4 linked regions of the Arabidopsis thaliana genome follow. The protein of the gene in region 4 interacts with the protein of the main gene of each other region in a pairwise test. Each region holds a gene or a part of one and is shown on either strand. Other genes may lie near its edges.

Evidence for each region.
Region 1: the proteins of BRX (region 4) and AT4G37710 interact in binary tests that used the Arabidopsis thaliana proteins (3 or more experiments, as listed by UniProt).
Region 2: the proteins of BRX (region 4) and WAVH2 interact in binary tests that used the Arabidopsis thaliana proteins (3 or more experiments, as listed by UniProt).
Region 3: the proteins of BRX (region 4) and AT1G05710 interact in binary tests that used the Arabidopsis thaliana proteins (3 or more experiments, as listed by UniProt).

What each region holds. Positions count from the first base shown.
Region 1 is NC_003075.7:17,716,320-17,719,297, reverse strand, and holds AT4G37710 (VQ motif-containing protein), read right to left. Parts: upstream 1,171-2,978; 5' UTR 1,065-1,170; coding exon 693-1,064; 3' UTR 527-692; downstream 1-526. Other genes in the region: PSK6 (phytosulfokine 6 precursor), read left to right, coding at 1-108, 203-337. UniProt on the Arabidopsis thaliana protein: May function as negative regulator of flowering transition.
Region 2 is NC_003076.8:26,259,176-26,264,670, reverse strand, and holds WAVH2 (Zinc finger (C3HC4-type RING finger) family protein), read right to left. Parts: upstream 3,536-5,495; 5' UTR 3,200-3,535; coding exon 2,798-3,199; intron 2,719-2,797; coding exon 967-2,718; 3' UTR 501-966; downstream 1-500. UniProt on the Arabidopsis thaliana protein: Probable E3 ubiquitin-protein ligase involved in the regulation of root growth. Acts as a positive regulator of root gravitropism.
Region 3 is NC_003070.9:1,713,037-1,717,828, reverse strand, and holds AT1G05710 (basic helix-loop-helix (bHLH) DNA-binding superfamily protein), read right to left. Parts: upstream 3,012-4,792; 5' UTR 2,445-3,011; exon of another isoform or gene 1,634-2,444; 5' UTR 1,632-1,633; coding exon 1,521-1,631; intron 1,411-1,520; coding exon 1,345-1,410; intron 1,271-1,344; coding exon 1,094-1,270; intron 968-1,093; coding exon 806-967; 3' UTR 539-805; downstream 1-538. Other genes in the region: AT1G05720 (selenoprotein family protein), read left to right, coding at 80-152; AT1G05700 (Leucine-rich repeat transmembrane protein kinase protein), read right to left, coding at 4,584-4,792.
Region 4 is NC_003070.9:11,445,570-11,450,751, forward strand, and holds BRX (DZC (Disease resistance/zinc finger/chromosome condensation-like region) domain containing protein), read left to right. Parts: upstream 1-1,717; 5' UTR 1,718-1,751; coding exon 1,752-1,753; intron 1,754-2,194; coding exon 2,195-2,348; intron 2,349-3,256; coding exon 3,257-3,648; intron 3,649-3,745; coding exon 3,746-3,875; intron 3,876-3,977; coding exon 3,978-4,297; intron 4,298-4,405; coding exon 4,406-4,484; 3' UTR 4,485-4,623; downstream 4,624-5,182. Other genes in the region: NIP3;1 (NOD26-like intrinsic protein 3;1), read left to right, coding at 4,891-5,022. UniProt on the Arabidopsis thaliana protein: Acts as a regulator of cell proliferation and elongation in the root and shoot. Regulates roots architecture and primary root protophloem differentiation.

The sequences.
Region 1 (2,978 bases), on a different chromosome or scaffold from region 4:
ATCACGATAGCTCTCCTCCTTTGCGCCACCATGCTAACGTGCAGCGCCCGCCCTGAACCTGCCTACTTCGCCTCCTTCACAACCTCTCCGGCGGATACACTTAGTCTGGTTAGTATTATATGCGTAAACACATGTTGAATGTTGATTCATGCGTAGTTATATATTTTCGTTTGTAATTTTATGTTTCATTGTGTTTCATCAGGAAATGATAGAATCAAAATTACATGAGGTGGCGGGAGAGAGCTGCGATAAAGAAGACGACGAAGATTGCTTGGTGAGAAGAACATTGACGGCTCATCTTGATTATATCTACACACATAAGAATAATCATCATTAATTAGCTGTAAAATTATTCTAACGTTAATTGTTGTGAATTTCAAATTATTCTCACATGTTAAACATGTGTATATAGAATCATTGATTAATTCAATTTATTCTTTTAATGAAAATATCAAATTATTCCCAATGTAGTTAGAATCCTTAATCAATCCAATTATGTTTTATTTTAATCAAAAGTCTTAACTCCCACAAATTATGTGTGTGTTACAGATAAATGACATAACAAATTAATTCTAGAATGCGAGTCTGAAAAATATATGATTACATCTTTCTGGTTTATTAAAAACAAACTAAAAATAAATACAAGAATGTTAAGCATTTCAATCAAAAGAAGCATTTTGCAAGAGTAGAAGCTACCATCTGGAAATATTTGCAGGATTTTGGAATGAGAAATCTCCCCAAGATGATGATGGATCAAACGCAAATGACGAAGAACTCTGCTTTGCTGCATCATCCGAAGTCTTGAGCGGTTTAGCCTGCACAGTCTCGTGCTCAGGTGCACCGGTTAGCCTCTGAACCAACACTTTGAAGTTTACTGGCTCGACTCGGTAGACATGAGGATGCATTGGATTCAAAGGTGATGATATTGCAGGCCTCTTCAAGGGCTTTGAAGGTTGTTTACGTGTCGAATGGAGCGAAGTTAGGTAATTTTTCGTTGCCCTTGTGGTGGTTTCTTGAGCGTTAAGGTAACTCTGAGACATAAATTGTTGTGATGTTGCTTCCATTGAGACTTGAGATGTCGCTTAAAATTCTTTGAATGTGAAAGTTATGTTCTTCTGATATTTATTGATCTTTGAATGTGAAAGTTATGTTCTTCTGATATATAATGATGGATGTGCAACATGTTCAACGAGGGTCAAGCCTTTGGTTTTTGACTCTTATTAGGGAATTGACTATTGAGAACATTGTTTGTTTTTCTTAGTTTTGTTTATGAGAATCATAAGTGAAAGGGGAATTTTCAACGTGTGTGTTCTTAATATTTTATTGATTTGATAGTTTTCGAAGTTTCTGATTAGGATTAAACTATTAAGAGGAAGATTCTTTAATCAAACTGAATTAATACTTTATCAAATATTATAATAAAGAAAGCTGTGGCTGTCCACGTGACGGTTTGATATTATCTGTAATGGTAAGAAGATTAAGTACTTATCAATAGCCTTCGGATTTGAATCTAATCGGATTCCTTGATCTTTTTATTTTATTTACTTTTATAACAAGTAATCTATTAGCCGTAACAAAAAAACAAACTAATCTATTATTTTGATTTCTAGTAATACAGTGCGCATAAGAGTCACGTCAGTCGGAACGTTAGAGAAAAAGGTAAATTTGAACGTTACATAACGGTAACTCTTTTGGTTTATTTCTTTAACTACGATGCTCTAGATATCTTTCAGATTTAAAACATTTGAGATATATATATATTTGGAAGAGGTCACATAAGATGATAATAACAAAGAAGCTTAACCTCTGTTCTCGTGGTTATTTGATTTGGTAGATTAGTCTTAAAATTGTCTTGAAATGGAAAATAAATTAGGCAGTCTTGAAAGAATCTACTTGAATTTAATTGTTCATATTGATATATAGGAAAAATAACAATCCTAGTTCTGTTTTATTAAGAAGATTAGTTTCTTTGAAAAACTAAAATATATGTCTGAAATGGATATTTGGGCATAAAGGTTTTTATTTTATTTTTAGATTAGTATATGATACTTGCATGATTATGTTGCACATAGTTTTCTGAAATTCAGAAGGCGTTGTAATGAAAATTTTGATTTGATTTTTGCAGGTTTTTTAGAAGAGCATAAACTCAACCGGAGTATGTAAAGAAAACGCCTTGATGATGAAAGTGATGATGTGCAGATGGAGTAGTGATGGAAGGAGAATGTCATAGAAGAGAGAAATCTAAATGCATCATTGGGATTGTGCCGTGCCATACTTTGATTGAGTGTGGAATGTGTATATATCAGATGTGTGACGAATGCTTGTAAAATATATTGATTCAAACTATATATCAAACTCAAGAATAAGAACAAGATTATGAATAAAAGACTCTCTCTTTTATTGCTTTAAGAAAATAACTCAAAACCTAAAAACACACAATCTTAATCTCTCAACTCATAAGTTTTGCAACACTCTTGCAACTCCTTTATATAAGAAAAGAACTAGACAATTTCCTAATCCTATTAGGAAAACACACATAAGTATTTAGGCAACTTCCTAAACACAAAGTCTAATTTTAATTTCCTTTTTGCTTGATTGCTTCTTCTTCAAGTAAGCTTCAAGCTTACTCCAACATTTTCCCCCTTAAGCTTGAAGCTACACTTTGTCATATCTTGAACTCCCACAAGATCTCTCATCTCTTTGAACTTGATTCTCCCGAGTGCCTTTGTTAGAATGTCGGCTCTCTGTTCGGTTCCGGGGACGTGCTCCACCTCAACTTGTTCATTCGCAACGCACTCACGAATAAAGTGATACCTCTTGTGAATGTGTTTGCTTCGTCCATGGAAAACCGGGTTTTTCGTGAGTGCTATAGCCGACTTGTTGTCAATTAATATCAACACTTGCTTACACGTTTTTCCAACAATCTCTTCAAGTAACTCTTGAAGCCAAACCGCTTGTTTTGCTGCCTCTGTAGCCGC
Region 2 (5,495 bases), on a different chromosome or scaffold from region 4:
TGACATTAACATTGTCCATATGCAATATGTAACTGCGTGATGAATGATAGCTTAGTTTTTTTTTTTGTGAAAAAATAATAGCTTAGTTTTTTTAGTTATGATTTGACCATATATATAGTTCGAGATTCTTCTGCCACTGATCATTTTAGTGAATCACATCGAGAAGTGGACCTTTGACAATAGTTAATCATTTCATCCATTTTAAAAGTATACAAAATCATTGCATTCAAAACAAATTGCAACTTGGCGCTAGCTACATATAATTAGTAAATGTCTTAATGATATAAAATGAATGAATTTAAGCGAGAAGAAAGCTTTGCAACGGCGCATGACCTGGTTTCTACCACGGTGCACCCACCAAACCATTCACCAACAACCAACAAAGACAATCCCCACGCACTATTCAAATCATTCAAACCCGGTGCCTTCTATAACAAAATAGGCTATAATGATGATCACATGACTAATCATGATCATTCATTTGGAAAGATATAATATATTATAGATCCTCTTAAGTTAAACGGCATATGATAATATAAACTTAACTTTTGATTTTGAAGTCCAGCATTACAAGCACACTCTCTAATCCACTATACCTCAACTTTTAATTCTATATAGTACACAAAAAAAGCAGACTTCATTTATTTGATCTACAACTTTTTTTAACTATTCAGTCATTAATTTGGAGTTTTTGAAGATTACAAAAAGGAAGAAGAAGATAAAAATGCTAAAAGACCAATTAATTCCTTCTAATGTAGGGTCTCAATCTCTCTGCAATACAAAAGGCCACACCCGTCGGCTACTGCTTGTCGCTATCATGCACCTATGTGGGTCTTTTTCTGAATAATCATACTTCTATTATTTATACCTTACTAAATTATTGCTTATCCTCCTTATATAAATTATGTACCATTATATATTCAAAAATCATTGAAATCGAATTTTCGAAAAAAAGGGAAATTAAAATTAAAATCTGGCGTTTTCCAAGCCGTGCATATCGCTGACTCGATTTAAATGCTTCCTCATAATAGCCACTTTAGCTAATTTCTCGGCGGCTCTCCAAGCCGAAGTAGGGGTAAGCTGCTCCGGTTTATCTTCAGTTCGGTTTAATATACTATTTCTCGGTTTAATCCGGCTAAGTTCATTTAGCTCAACCTCCAAACTCCTTAAACTATCATCCGAATGAGACGCATTGGACCGAGCCGTCGTTAGAACCTGATACGCTCCGGATAAATCCTCACGCTCGATAAGCCGGCGTGAATCCGCTACAGCGCGGCACATGGAGTGTAAATTTCTCAGCCGTTCGATGCTTGAAGATACATATCTGACGGATTGTGGCCGTGGGATCAAAAATCGTTTTTCTTTAGGACATGTCATTGGCTGATGTGTCATTTGGTCAACGATCGACGACTGTACGGACATTACTTGGTGGGAACCACTCGACGAAGTCGGCACTTTGAGCTCAACGAGAAACTCTCTCTCCTCCTCCGCAAACAAATCTCCGACTTGGATGACAGAACCGGATCCGAAATTCTCGAGTCGACCGGTTAAAGAGTAAACCGATGAAATCTCAGTCAAATGAGATCCGTTGACCAAACTGAGATTTAGCTTCACGTTATGGAGAGTCACGTTGAGCAACGAAGCGATTCTTTCGGTGAACGCGTCTCGTAGCGGCGCGTGAAGCAACGCTCCAGGAGAAGCAATGTAAACGGAATGAACCGGGATCTCCGGACGAGAGAAACGCGTGGTAGACACGACGAACGGAATGCGCGTTGCGTTTAGTTTAGCTTTCAAAACTGCCTCCGGTTGATCTTGACCGTCCGATAAAACAAAGATGCTCGTTGACGGATTCTTCTCCCGCCGATCTTCAACGACTTTAACCGCTTTCTTCAACGCGTCGTTAACGCTCATTCCAACTCCGCCGGTGGTTTCCATTCCGCCGAGTGCGTCGACCATTCGCCGCGCCGATCGTCTTCCTTTCGCCGTCATTCGTCGTAACGGCATTAACCGTTTTGACCCCGTCGAGAAAACGACGATCGATAAACGATCCATTTCTCGGAGAAGAGAGATCACCGATCTCATCGCGTGTTTAACCGTTTGCAAATTAGCACCGCCGTTGCTTAAATCGAGAACCGTTACCAGATCTATCGATGGTCTTCGCGCCTTAATCGCATCGGTGATGGACGACGGCGACGGAGACGCTTTTAGTTTCATGATGACGACGTGTGTCTCCTTCTTTTTCCCGGTTTCCACAACGGCAGATTCCGGCAGCAACTTAACCTCCAGATTTCCTGAGATTGAAGGAACCATATCAGACGTAATCGAAGAATCTCGGAAGAATCCGGGGAAGTCATCGTCATCTTCAACGTCGTCGTTTTCGTCTGATTCATGTATAGTGTTGATCTGAGCAAGAGAAACCGGCGAATAAGCTAACGGCTCATCGTCGTTGTACACTCTCAGTGACTTCCCCGTTTTGATCTCTCGGATCTCGGGTCGTCTAATCGGGTCGGATCCGAAGTTATTATTAACAGCCGGATAATTCGACTTTGGCGCGTGATTCCATGCGGCAGAGCAAAACGGACAACGCTTGTCTTCTAATCCATTGACGCAAGAAAGGTGAAACGAATGTGAACACTCCGCCGTGAAAATTGCCGCCGTCGAGTTGCTTTGATTTGAATTCACTCTCTGCAAACAAATCGCACATCTACTACTATTACTCTGCATCCACACACACACAAAACGGAGCTTTAGATTATGTCTTTCAAATTAAGAACTTGATTGAATCAAAAGTAACTACCTTGTTGAGAAGAAGCGTGGCACGGAGGAGAGAGACGCCGCCGCCGCCTTGAGAGGAAGAAGAAGATGATGATTTAGGAGAAGAAGGGTTAGAGAAAAACTTGGGACTTGAGCTGTTACTAGTCCTTGGAGTAGCATTGCTCGTAGTCCTGCAATGGAGTTTGGGACTAGTTGGAAGAGATGGGATAGTGACTGATGTGGAAGCTGAGGAGCGGCATCCAGTGCCGCTTCCGCCGCGTGATCGGAGACGAGGAGTTGAAGGGTTGGATAAAAAACCAAACTTTGATCGGAATCTTGGTGTGGGAATTGGAGGATCAGTAGTGTGTAATGATGAATGTTGTTGAGGTTTATCTTGATTACTTGAAACGGAAGTGCAAAACGCTTTTCTCCAACCAAACACCATTTCCTGTGAGAAAGAAATAAGAAGAGAAGCTCTCTTTTTTTCTATATTATTCTTCTTCTTCTTCTTCTTCTATTTGTGGAAGTAATTATAGAGAAGAAGAAGAAGGACTTTGGGCATAATGGATCATAAGGAAGATGGAGAAATTAAATACTAAGATAAAGACTATAGAGAGATTTCTTTTTCTTTAGTGATGTTTCGATAAAGACATTTTTTTTTATGTTATTTTAAGTTGTAGGAATATTATAAGGTAAAAATTGTGACTTTTATGCGTGTGAATTGGCTTTTGTTTCCATTTGCATGTAATTGTTTTGCCTCGAAGAAAATAATCACTGATCCGTTAAGTCCTTCTTTTTTTTGGGTCAATTTTGCTATTTTTTTTACATATTTCAAGTGTTGTTTCATTGGGATGGACGATAAAGTTAAAAGTCAACGGTAATAACCGACCATATGCAAAATGAGATTTCAAATAACTTGAGACGCGGAGATCTTTGTTTTCCATTTGCATGTAAAATCTTTCTTTTCAAAATATTAAACAGTTTATTAGATTGTCTAATGTGGATTCCTCTTGAATGTTCCACAATGTGGTTCGATTATATAAATCATTTCCAATCTTATCGGATTCTTCGAAATGCAGATTGTGATGGAGTGTAAGGTCAAACATGTGGGCACGTGACGTTACAGTCTGAGCAATAAACGGTAAGCTTATTTTCCTTACGAAATATAAATGATACTAAAACACGTTGTATTCGAGTTATCTTCATGATTGTGAATTGAGTTGTATATTTAATTGATAGTTGCTTACGTAATTACATACTGGCTGGAGCGAGGAATTTAACCTAAAGTTTTGGGTTTGGAATTTTGTAAAAGGTCTTTGATGGAGAAAGGTCGAAAAGTTTTTTTTTTTCATTTATTTACCAACAAAATGATTTATAATATATGGTGACGACAAGAGCTAATGATATGACATAAAGATTAGACTGGTCCAGGTCCAGCAAATTTTGAATTCTTCTTGCTATTGCAAAAAAATTGATGGTTTTGGTCTGATTTTGATTTCGACACTTCTATTATTTTGATTTGACAACCTTTTAGATTGGCTGATCAAGTGCTCGAGATAATTAGTGTCCTAAATCAAAGGTATTAACTCCAAAATACAAATTACTGCAATTTGTGGCCTCTAGTATCTTGCAGTTATGCTGAAGAGCCACATGAATGAATGAAACAATAAATGGGTGGGTACATATATGATAAGGGGGCTGCTAAACAAAATTGTAGTTAAGCATTTGTAAATGGTTTGGTAGGTTTTTTAAGTGGCTGCCATTGTAGAGACAACACATGACTTCGTGCGTGCATGCCATGGAATCATTGATTATCAACCAAAAAATGAAAATATTAGTTAGTTAATCTTGTTAAGAATGTAATGACTTATATTATACGAATAGCTTTACACAAGTATATATACAAGTACAGAGGAGGTTACACTAGGGTTGTACAAATATAGAATGTTCCATAAAGGAGACAGAGGAATATTATGATATTAAAGAGAGATGATCCTATGTATCCTTAACACGCCCCCTCAAGATGGAGGGGCTATGCACACTCCAATCTTGTCTCGAAGTTCCGTGAAGTGATTTCGAGGAAGCGGTTTTGTTAATGCATCAGCGAGTTGGTCTCTAGTGTTGACGTGAGCCACACGAAGAATGCCTTGCTGAACTTGTCCACGAATAAAGTGATAGTCTATGGCTATGTGCTTCATCCTGGAATGGAAAACCGGGTTTGCGCAAAGGAAAGTAGCACCCACATTATCACAATAGACCACAGGCGGTTTGGGAAGTGTGATCCCAAGCTCCGTGAGAAGGCTGCATATCCACTGGATTTCACAAGCAGTATTTGCCACCGATCGATATTCAGCTTCTGTTGAAGACCTTGCAACGCTCTTTTGTTTCTTGGCAGTCCATGAGATTGGATTTTTCCCGAGGTAAACGATGTAAGCATTTGTTGAAACGCAATCTTCTGAGTCTCCGGCCCAATCTGCATCTGAAAAGGCATGAAGGGAGAGCTCGTTTTGAGCAGCAAAGAAAATGTCGTGAGTCGTAGTTCCAGCCAAATATCTAAGAACTCGTTTTGCAGCTTGCCAATGATCATTGGTTGGTCTGTGCATAAACTGAGAGAGGCGGTTTACAGCATATGCAATATCAAGTCTTGTGAATGCAAGATACTGCAAACTTCCAACAAGCTTTCTATACTCAGTAGGGTCGGAGAGAGTTATACCAGACATGAGTGTGAGTTTAGGAGATGA
Region 3 (4,792 bases), 9.7 Mb from region 4:
CATCCTCTATCAGCAACACAACTTCATTCCTCCAAGGTTGTAGCTGACCTCTTTGTTTCTTGATTTGCTTGTTTTGCAGAATCGACAACTGGAAACGCGAACATCTACTGCAGTATATGCGAGAGAAGGTCAAGCCTACTGCAGCAAGTTAGTTTTATCCCATGTAGAGCTGAAGAGGATGATCCTCCCTGTCACATTTACATATGCCAAAGCATTGCAATCTAGTAGTTAAAAACACATTATGACCGACTTATCTTATCTTTGTCCAAGCTATTTGGTCCCTTGGTATCAACAGTCTGTATGTTCTGAACCTTTGCAATTCTCAGTGGTAATGTATTTAATCCAATGTTCTTATGAAAGGATAATCTTAATTCTGTGGTCAGCAGTTTGGCACTATTACAAGCACTGAAAGAAAGCTATATGTATTAGGGAAATCCACGATCATACCTTCAGCACTGAAAGAAAGCTTGCCTTGGGTCTTTAGATCTAGAATAATGTATTGGATGCTGTAGGTAAGAATCACACAAAGAAAAGCTTAAGATATCTGAGGCATTTTTTGGGATAAAGATTACTTTGCATTAAAATCATTTGGTTCCTGTTTGGGCATATTACACAAGTCCAAAGTAAGGGGATGCATTAAGCAGTCGAATAATAATAACAATCATTGCCAACCATGAGCTGTTCTAAACCAACATCATGTGCTCTCTGTCTATATATGTTACAGAGGCATCATCAGAAAAATAACAATTGGTCATTCTTTTTTAGGCTTAACACAAAGATCGTAGTAGGTGATTAGTCGAATTGGTCATCTAAAGGGTGATTGAGATGTGACACTGAAAGCTGGTGATAGAGGAGTCTTCACGGGCGCCCATATATCAGCGCCGTTGCTTTGAGCAACTCCAACTGTATTCTCCATTGGAACAAGACATAATCCTCTGTTTCTCAGGCTGTACTGCTCCAGCTCCTCCTGGTTACAAAAGACGGGAAAATCAGTCCGTGCAAGGTATTCAAGTTCCAAGTGAAGATCTGTCAGATGCAGAGTAGAACTAGTGAACTAAGTATAAATGAAGTTGAGATTCAAGATCATACTCACCTGCGTAGCATCAGGTACCGTTTGCAGATACGGAGCACTTAGCACCTGTACAAAAGAACATGGGAACTCAGATAAAGATGAATGAATCATGCTTGGTATTGAACTGCAGACCTTCACTTGTTCGTGAAGAAACTCTATGTAATGCATCGCGTCTAGAAGAACTGATGCAGTGTCGGTCTGTGAACATTAGAGAAAAGTATGAGCTGAGAGACAGATTCTTTTGATTTGCTTGCCAAAAAAAACAAAGTTACCTTTCCATAAGGGGAAACTATTTGTTGAAGAGCTGAAATACGTTCTCCAACCTTGTCCTTCCTCTCCTGTTTGCCATTAAGAGAACAAAGATGGACGGATCATTACCATGCAATTTGTTGTACCGAAGACTATTTCGACCGAGAAATCCATGAAAACTAGCTAGGATAAGCAAAACCTTGGAACTGAAAGAGAGATCAGACTTGTGGCGTTTGATACTGCTTTCTCCGAGAGAGCAGACATTCCGCTTATTCTCCATCATCATTCCAGCGTCTCTAGAGAATTCCATACCTTTTGTCAATAAGAAATGCGCTAAAGAGTCATCAACACAACATGACCCAAAATTTATACTAACAAGACATGTTACATAGGGTACAAGGTTACCATCCTAGAGCAAATTACAGACCAGAAAGATTACAAGATCTATGAAATGATGATCTTGTTTTGGACCAACCAATGCATTGGGAGACAGGATTTGGAAGAGAAATTTAGAATATTAAGCCAAGACAAAGGTATGGTCAACGAAGTAGGCTAGGATTTGTGGTCAGAGGCTAGGCCTCAAGTTCACATCAGCTTAAGCATTATTTTAAGATTTCTAAGCACAATTATAAGCTCAAACAAAAAGATTAAATATGTTATCATACCTTGCTTAGATTATTTGCATAAACTCATAAACAGAGAATAACATCATATATGCATGAATCAATAGAGTCCCTAAAAACAGGAGAAAACCCCCCCAAAAAACAAAACACATATAGAGAATCCTCCACGGATCAGAGGAGAACAAAAAGTCACTCTCAGTGAATTATTGAAGTTAATGTAAACAAGAACTCAACTTCTTGCATTACAATAACAAAACTATGAGTAGAATCTGGTAACGATATCTATCAAAGTTGGTAACTTTTTCAGTCACGGGGATTGTCGTATAAACGAAATCAAAACCTAATCCAACTGAAGGTTAGCAACAAGAAGAGGAGAGATAAGTAATTATGCTTGAAATTAGCTTTTAGCAGACTAAATTTGGTGTAATTAAGCCAAAAATGGAGTAAAGAAACAGAGCAAATAAAGAAAGAACGAATAAAGAGAGAGAGAAAGAGCTTACGGAGAGAGAGATAGGTAGAGTCACAAATTGGAAGAAGAGTCTAAGAAAAAGCTTTATTGTTCAAGAAGCCACCACCCACAACTTCTGAAAGTTCCAAATTTTGCTTCGTTTGAACCCTAAAAATAATTGCTTTTTTTTTTGTCCTTGAGCTTCTTTCTGACAACACAAAACCCGATAAGATACAGAAATGTCTCTCTCTCTCTTTTGAGTTTTCTGAGTCCAAAAGGCAAAACTCCAAACCAGTATTTAGTATGTATAAACGTCAGTCTTTTTCCTTTGTTTTGCGCTTAAAACGACGTCCAAGATCGTGCTGTGTGACACGATGAAGAGCTCAAGCAGAGTGAAAATAAGCGTCGTTTCTTATAAGGTCGTAAGATTAGAGCAGTCGCAGAAATCTCGGCGTGAGAAAAGGAAAGAGACAGAGAGAGAGAGAGAAGAAACTGTGTCTGTTTTTGTTTATGCTCCAAACAAATAGAAGGGGACTTATTTTTATGTCTGTCTTTTTCGTCTAGACTCTTTTTGGGTGAAGTAATGTCATTTACTTCTCATTTAATTATTTTCAAATTTATTTATTGATTTGTATAAATCTAGAGTTTTCAATTTTATCGACTATCAATATTTTTTGATAATTTTTTCCTTACGAGTGTAAAGGTTATAACAAGCTACAAATTTATTCAAATGGTCAAAATCAGAGCCACTCATGCCTGAAAATTGTAATTTTGCACACAAATTCTTGACCTCACATTATGTTCAGAAAATCTCCAGATGTTTTATTTATGTGCTCCAAAGACTTCTATGATACATTTTTTTTTGACAACCAATTAGATGTAGATTAATAGATACATAAGTATTTCTTAGTTTAGATAGAAAAAAATGGAACCTTAAGTGACGTAGTTAGGACATTTTGGAAGCATGCATGTTCTGCATATATTGCCCCCACACCATCTACTACAACTCCTGCAAACTTTAATAATAAAGATGAAACAGATGACTAAAGAGTAAAGACTAATCCCTAATTAGGCTTTAGTGTTCAGAATCAGTCTTTTGTCTTGTGACTAAATACATCATAATTTGACAGCTATTATACAACCCATTGAGAGAGTGAGAGGTCTTCGTAGTTAATATCAGTCCCAGGTAGAAGTTGCTTTTATTATTATTATTATAGATAGATAGAGAGAACTATTTTTTCATTTATTGATGATAGTGACATTGTAAGGTTATTTTATTTTGTCAACATATTTGACCAGCTCTCTGCACCATCAGTCTTTTTGTTTCTACTTTCCACTTTTTGCTTTTTTCGTCTTTGAATTTTTGTTCTCTTCTCTTTAAAATCAACCAAAATTTCAACTAGAGAGGTTAAAAACATGGGCTGTATATAAAATCCATCAATCTAATCAAATCAGTGATTGAAAGTGATGTATTATTTTCATAAATTAACACCTACAATAATGAGATTCTCTAGCGTCTACCATTAATAATGAGATTTTAATTAGATTGAACGAGTTCATTTCATTAGTATATCCGTTGTTTAACTACAAGAGAATAAATGAAGTGTTATGAAAATGATAATTTACTACTGTAAATTTTTATGTTTCAAGTAAGACAAATTTAATTTTTCTGACGTCAATGCAACTTCATAGAGAGACTCAGGCGTTGAGGAGACGCGCACGCGTGGTTTCGGACACCAAACTCGCTCTAAAAGTCACTCACGTGGAGCGGTTAGAAGAGTCACGTTTCGAAACGCAGACGCAGAGGTAGAGATTGCGTGTGTAAAAAATAGAGATTTGTGGGGACAGCGGCACAGACCGTGCGACGCAAAAGTCCGAAAGGAATCAGCGTTTTATTTAAAAGGTACGTTTGGGGTCCTACGCGGCTTCGGTCTTTGTCTTGTTGTCACCATCTTCTTGTCCTCTTTTTTCCTTGTGGCTACCGGATTAGGTACTTTTTCTTTGTTTTTTCCTATTTATTATGGATTCTTTTCTATTCCATTACATTATTACTTTGGGCTTTTAGATATAGCATTAGCAACACAAACTTTAAAAAGCCTTTCAAAAATTTAAATATATAAACACTCCCAAGTTTTCAACATCTTTCTGTTTCCAACCCCTTGACTTATTCTACACCCTTTGCGTTGTGACATCAATAGTTCTTGTTACTCTCTTCTCTTTGAAGACACTCATTCAATCCTCTAACAATATGTGGCATGTTTGGCCTATCAGAGACGTTCTGCGAAACAGAGGATAATGCAAGCTCCACAACTTTCCATACAGAGTTTACATCAAAATCTTTCGCCATCTTTGAATCTATAACATTGTTCACATCATTCGTAGACCTCAAGATCGATATCA
Region 4 (5,182 bases):
TCTCATTTTTTCCAAATTTCTCTTCCGGAAAATGAAGATTTCTATGGGTTTTTGAGTTTGGAGATTTTCTCAGTGAAGTTTATTACATAATCAGATTCGAAGAAGAAGACATTTCAGGTGAGTTTATAAAAATTCTCTTTTTTGAAGATTTTTCTCGGGAAAATAAGAAAACAGAGAGATTCGTTGCTCTGTTTCTGTTCTTCTGTAGAAACGATTAGTCACTGGTTTTTTTCCGATCGATCTTTTCAATACTATTTTTTCCCGGAAAAAAAAAGATTCAGAGATTTTTTTTTTTTTTTTTGCGTTACCTTTTTCTGCAAACATTTGTCACTTGATTGATTTGATTTAGACAGATTCGATTCGTCATTTTTTTCTGATTAATACCAAAATTTTCTCACTAAACCCAAATCAGAAACTTCACCGAAAAATGTGTATTCATTCTTCAATATTAATATAAATTTTCATTTTCATTCAAAAGTTTCCCGGTATTTATTGTTCTTTTACTTTTTTGAGAAAACGCCGAATTTTTTCTCAAAAACATTAAAAGCAAAATTGTAGTATCATAAATTGTTTTCGTCCTTTTGTAACACATTTATTACAATTACTGTCTGTAACACTACTACACTAATCTTCTCTGCAGCCATTGATGGTCTATTTATAGACGTAGACTCAGAACTAACCCCACTCGTGCCGGCTTCCTAAATAGACCAAAGCCTTCAAGAGGAAAATAAAGCAGAAGCTAGCTATCTAGTATCTCAATAATCTCAGATCATATCGCTTCATTTCTCAGATATCGAAACACAAAGGTGAGTGAGTAATAAACAAAACCCACTAATCAAAATTTTATTTTTTGGATTGTAATGATTAAGAAAAAAAGAAGAAGTCGTTTTCTGAGGTGAGAATAATAATGGTTTTTGTATCAGTTTTTGCCTTTGCTTTTGATATCAAAACAGAGTTTTTTTCGTGATTCGTGATTGTTTTTGCGATTTTATCTTTTACTTTGGATATAGTTTTAGTTTTCATGTCGCGACACGCTTTAGATTGGTCCATCATCACTCAAAACCCTAAAAATAGAAACCAATCTCTTTTTCTTTTTCTTAACACGTGACTGTCAAGATTCCATTTTCTTGTTATATTTTTCAATTTTGTTTTGCTTTTCTAGTGTTTCCAATTGTTTTCTTCTTTACTTATGTATTTGTCTTGATCGATGTTAAACACGCGGAATCAGAACATATTATTTGATTCTCTTGAGTCATCACAATAATCTGATTTTTTTTTAAAATGTCATAAATTTCGGCTACTGCAAAAAAAATGTAATTATTCTTCGAACTTTTGTTAGTTGAGGGATGGGTTTAGGATCTTTTGCTGCACACAAAAGTATTAAGTTATTCTTTAACAAAAAAAAAAAACTATTTAAAGTAGAATAAAGAAGCATTTGTCTCTATTATGATTGTCTTTAGAATATATTATTACTTGTAAATAATGTGTTTATACAATTTTCAGGTGTTTAGATTTGCACAATTAATTTTTAAAATATTAGTATTTCTTAACTGGGTCCTATTTTCTGATCCCCAAGCTCTCTTTCTTTTCTAGTTATAACATCTTTTTTTTTTTAATAAAGAAAAGTGTAACATGTAGTTTTAATATCTCTTTCAACACTTTTGTCTTTATCAAGATCTCTTCACTAATTTATACCCATCTTTTTTTATTCGCTCTTAAAATAGGTAACACAAATATCCGACCATGGTGTAATGTAAACTGTTTTTCTTTCTTTCCATTTTTAAAAAATGGGTTTAGTACTTGAAATATTTAGCATTGGTTCTTTATGAGTTAAACTACTAACCAGTCAAGTTACATTTTCTTTTTGTTATAACATGAGTAGTTGTTTCCTGACTAGAGATATGTCAACAACTTTGTCCTTTTGTGTTTGTGTTTTGCGTTATAAGAAAACGACAATTGAAATCCAAATACCCTTTTCTAGCTATATGTTCCTAACTTGTAACTAATGTTTACATGTGTACTACGATTACATAAGCTTTACCCGTGTTTTATGTCGGATTGTGAGAGTGAGCTCTACTTTAACGTTCTTAATTACTTTTTGTTTTGTTTTGTAGAGTATTATTATTGATTTGAGTAGAGTAGTGTGAGGTTTGGTTTGTGATGATGTTTAATAGAGTACTCTCTGGTTTTATAGGTCTGAAAAGGCAGAGAACAACTCAAAAAAGAGACCAAAAATGTTTTCTTGCATAGCTTGTACCAAAGCAGACGGAGGTGAAGAAGTCGAACATGGAGCGCGTGGAGGCACCACTCCCAATACTAAAGAAGCCGTCAAAAGCCTAACCATTCAGGTCTCTCTCTTCTTTCTTTGTTGATCCTTCTTCTGCTTTTATTTTCTTTCACTTTATTTTATTGCTTTTCTCTAATTGCCTTGCTCGTGAAACAAACAAAGACACAAACCCCAATTAACGTATCTTAGAGGACTTAAAAAGGGTCCATATATTTGACTATTATTCGTTTTCTTTACCAAAGAATAGAGTTTGAAGTCATTAGTATATAGAGGTTACTGTTGTTTAGGACAGAGATCTTACAATGAGGTAACTTCACTTCATTTTTTGGAATCTTTCACCAATCTCTCTTTAATAGTTTTCATGTCAGTGTTTGCTTCCTCTCTATGTGACTAGACATATGAAAGTCAAAAACAACTACTGAAACAATTTAAACCCTCATTGTACATATCCTTGAATTATGTAGCCAGTTGAATTATCAGGACTATCATTAAAGCTTATATTGGGGTCATACTTTGATGAATATTGCTAGTGAAGCTTGATCTAAATACCTTTCTCTCAAATAAGCTTTAGTGGATTCTTACCTAGACAAGGAAATAAAGAAAGGGTTTTTTGGGGTGGGGGTAACTATTTTAGTAAATCAAAAGAACATAAACAAAAGAAATAGTGGGCCGTTATGATTGTGGTGCAGGCTAAGAAGACAATATGAAGTTTCTTTTTTTAATACATATGTTTAATTATGTTAGATCTCATAGCTTTATTGTTGTTCTTTTAATAATGATCATAGTAGACCTCTTTTTACTTCATTGGGCTAAAAAGTATACTTAGTCATACTTAAAAAGGCTTGAAACTACCTATAATGTTTGTGTACCGTTATACTCAACATTCTTGTGTGTTTAAATGGATTACTTTGATAAACAAGATAAAGTTTTTGAATGTAATCGGTCTTTTTGGGTGCATATGTTACGCAGATTAAAGATATGGCTTTGAAATTCTCTGGTGCTTATAAACAATGCAAGCCATGCACTGGTTCCTCTAGTAGTCCCTTGAAGAAAGGACATAGATCATTTCCGGATTATGACAATGCCTCTGAAGGTGTTCCATACCCTTTCATGGGTGGAAGTGCTGGTTCAACTCCTGCTTGGGACTTCACAAACTCCTCTCATCATCCAGCTGGACGGTTAGAATCAAAGTTCACTTCAATATATGGAAATGATCGAGAATCTATCTCTGCACAGTCTTGTGATGTTGTACTGGATGATGATGGACCAAAAGAGTGGATGGCTCAAGTAGAACCTGGTGTTCATATCACATTTGCTTCTCTTCCCACTGGAGGAAATGATCTCAAACGGATCCGTTTCAGGTATTTGAACTACTCAAAACAATCTCTATATCTTCATGGCATTCAACGCTGAAACATGAGATAAAAACTAACAATTACTTGTGTCTTGTTTTGAAAGCCGAGAGATGTTTGATAAGTGGCAAGCTCAACGGTGGTGGGGTGAGAACTATGACAAGATCGTTGAGCTTTACAATGTACAGAGATTTAACCGCCAAGCTCTCCAAACGCCTGCAAGATCCGACGATCAGGTAAACACATATATCCTTAGATCCCTTAGTCTTTCTTCAGAACAGGATCTATATGAATCTTGTCTTTTAAGCCAGAGAGGGTAACACAAGTTTATATTTCAGTCACAGAGAGATTCAACGTACTCAAAGATGGATTCAGCAAGAGAAAGCAAAGACTGGACTCCAAGACACAATTTCAGACCTCCAGGATCTGTCCCGCATCACTTTTATGGCGGCTCTAGCAACTATGGACCAGGAAGTTATCATGGAGGACCACCGATGGATGCAGCAAGAACCACAACTTCTTCCAGAGATGATCCACCTTCCATGAGCAATGCTAGTGAAATGCAAGCTGAGTGGATTGAAGAGGACGAGCCTGGTGTTTACATTACCATCAGACAATTATCAGATGGGACTAGAGAGCTACGTCGAGTCAGATTCAGGTATAACAAAACGTCTAAAACTAAGCATTTGCTAATCATATACATTTTGAAAGTTGGTAATCATACCGTGACTAACCGGAATCTATGGTTTTGTGGTTTAATCAACAGCCGGGAACGGTTTGGGGAAGTGCATGCAAAGACATGGTGGGAGCAGAACAGAGAGAGAATACAAACACAGTACCTCTAAGCAAACGAAATATTATGAGTACCAAAATCTTTAATTAATTAATTAATCTCCTTCACATAACAACACAAACTACACACATTTTGCTTATCTTTTTGTTCATCTTAGCTTAACATCTATACATAAATTAAGTGTTTTGAAATATCATTTCTAATCAAAGCTGATTACATTTACATATAATTATAAGTCTATAACTATCGTGTAAACCATGTCGTGTGTTTTGTGACAAAGATAAAGAAGTCAACTATGAACCTAAAAGAATTTATCAACATGCGGTATAGACTATAGAATAAAAAAGTCAACTTTATTATTTGCTTATAAGTTATAACGAATACAAAGTAGAGTTGACCATTTGAGTTTTTAGATGAGAAAACCATAAACTTGGAGGAAAGTCACCATAGTTCCATCAATGGCTGAGATTTCTGATATTACTACTCAGACACAAACCGTTGTCTTGGACATCGAAAACTATCAATCCATTGATGATTCCCGGTCGTCGGATTTATCCGCTCCTCTTGTGTCCGTATCGTTCGTTCAAAAGGTGAGCCGCCTCTTTTATGTTGCGATATGGTTTCTTAATTTGTCGTGAAATATTTGTTAGTCCAAATCAAGATTTTATATTTCGTGTGATGTTTGCTATAGCCTATATGCAAGCTCAATCTTGACTTTGGTTCTAATTATTGGTAACTGATTTTCCAATC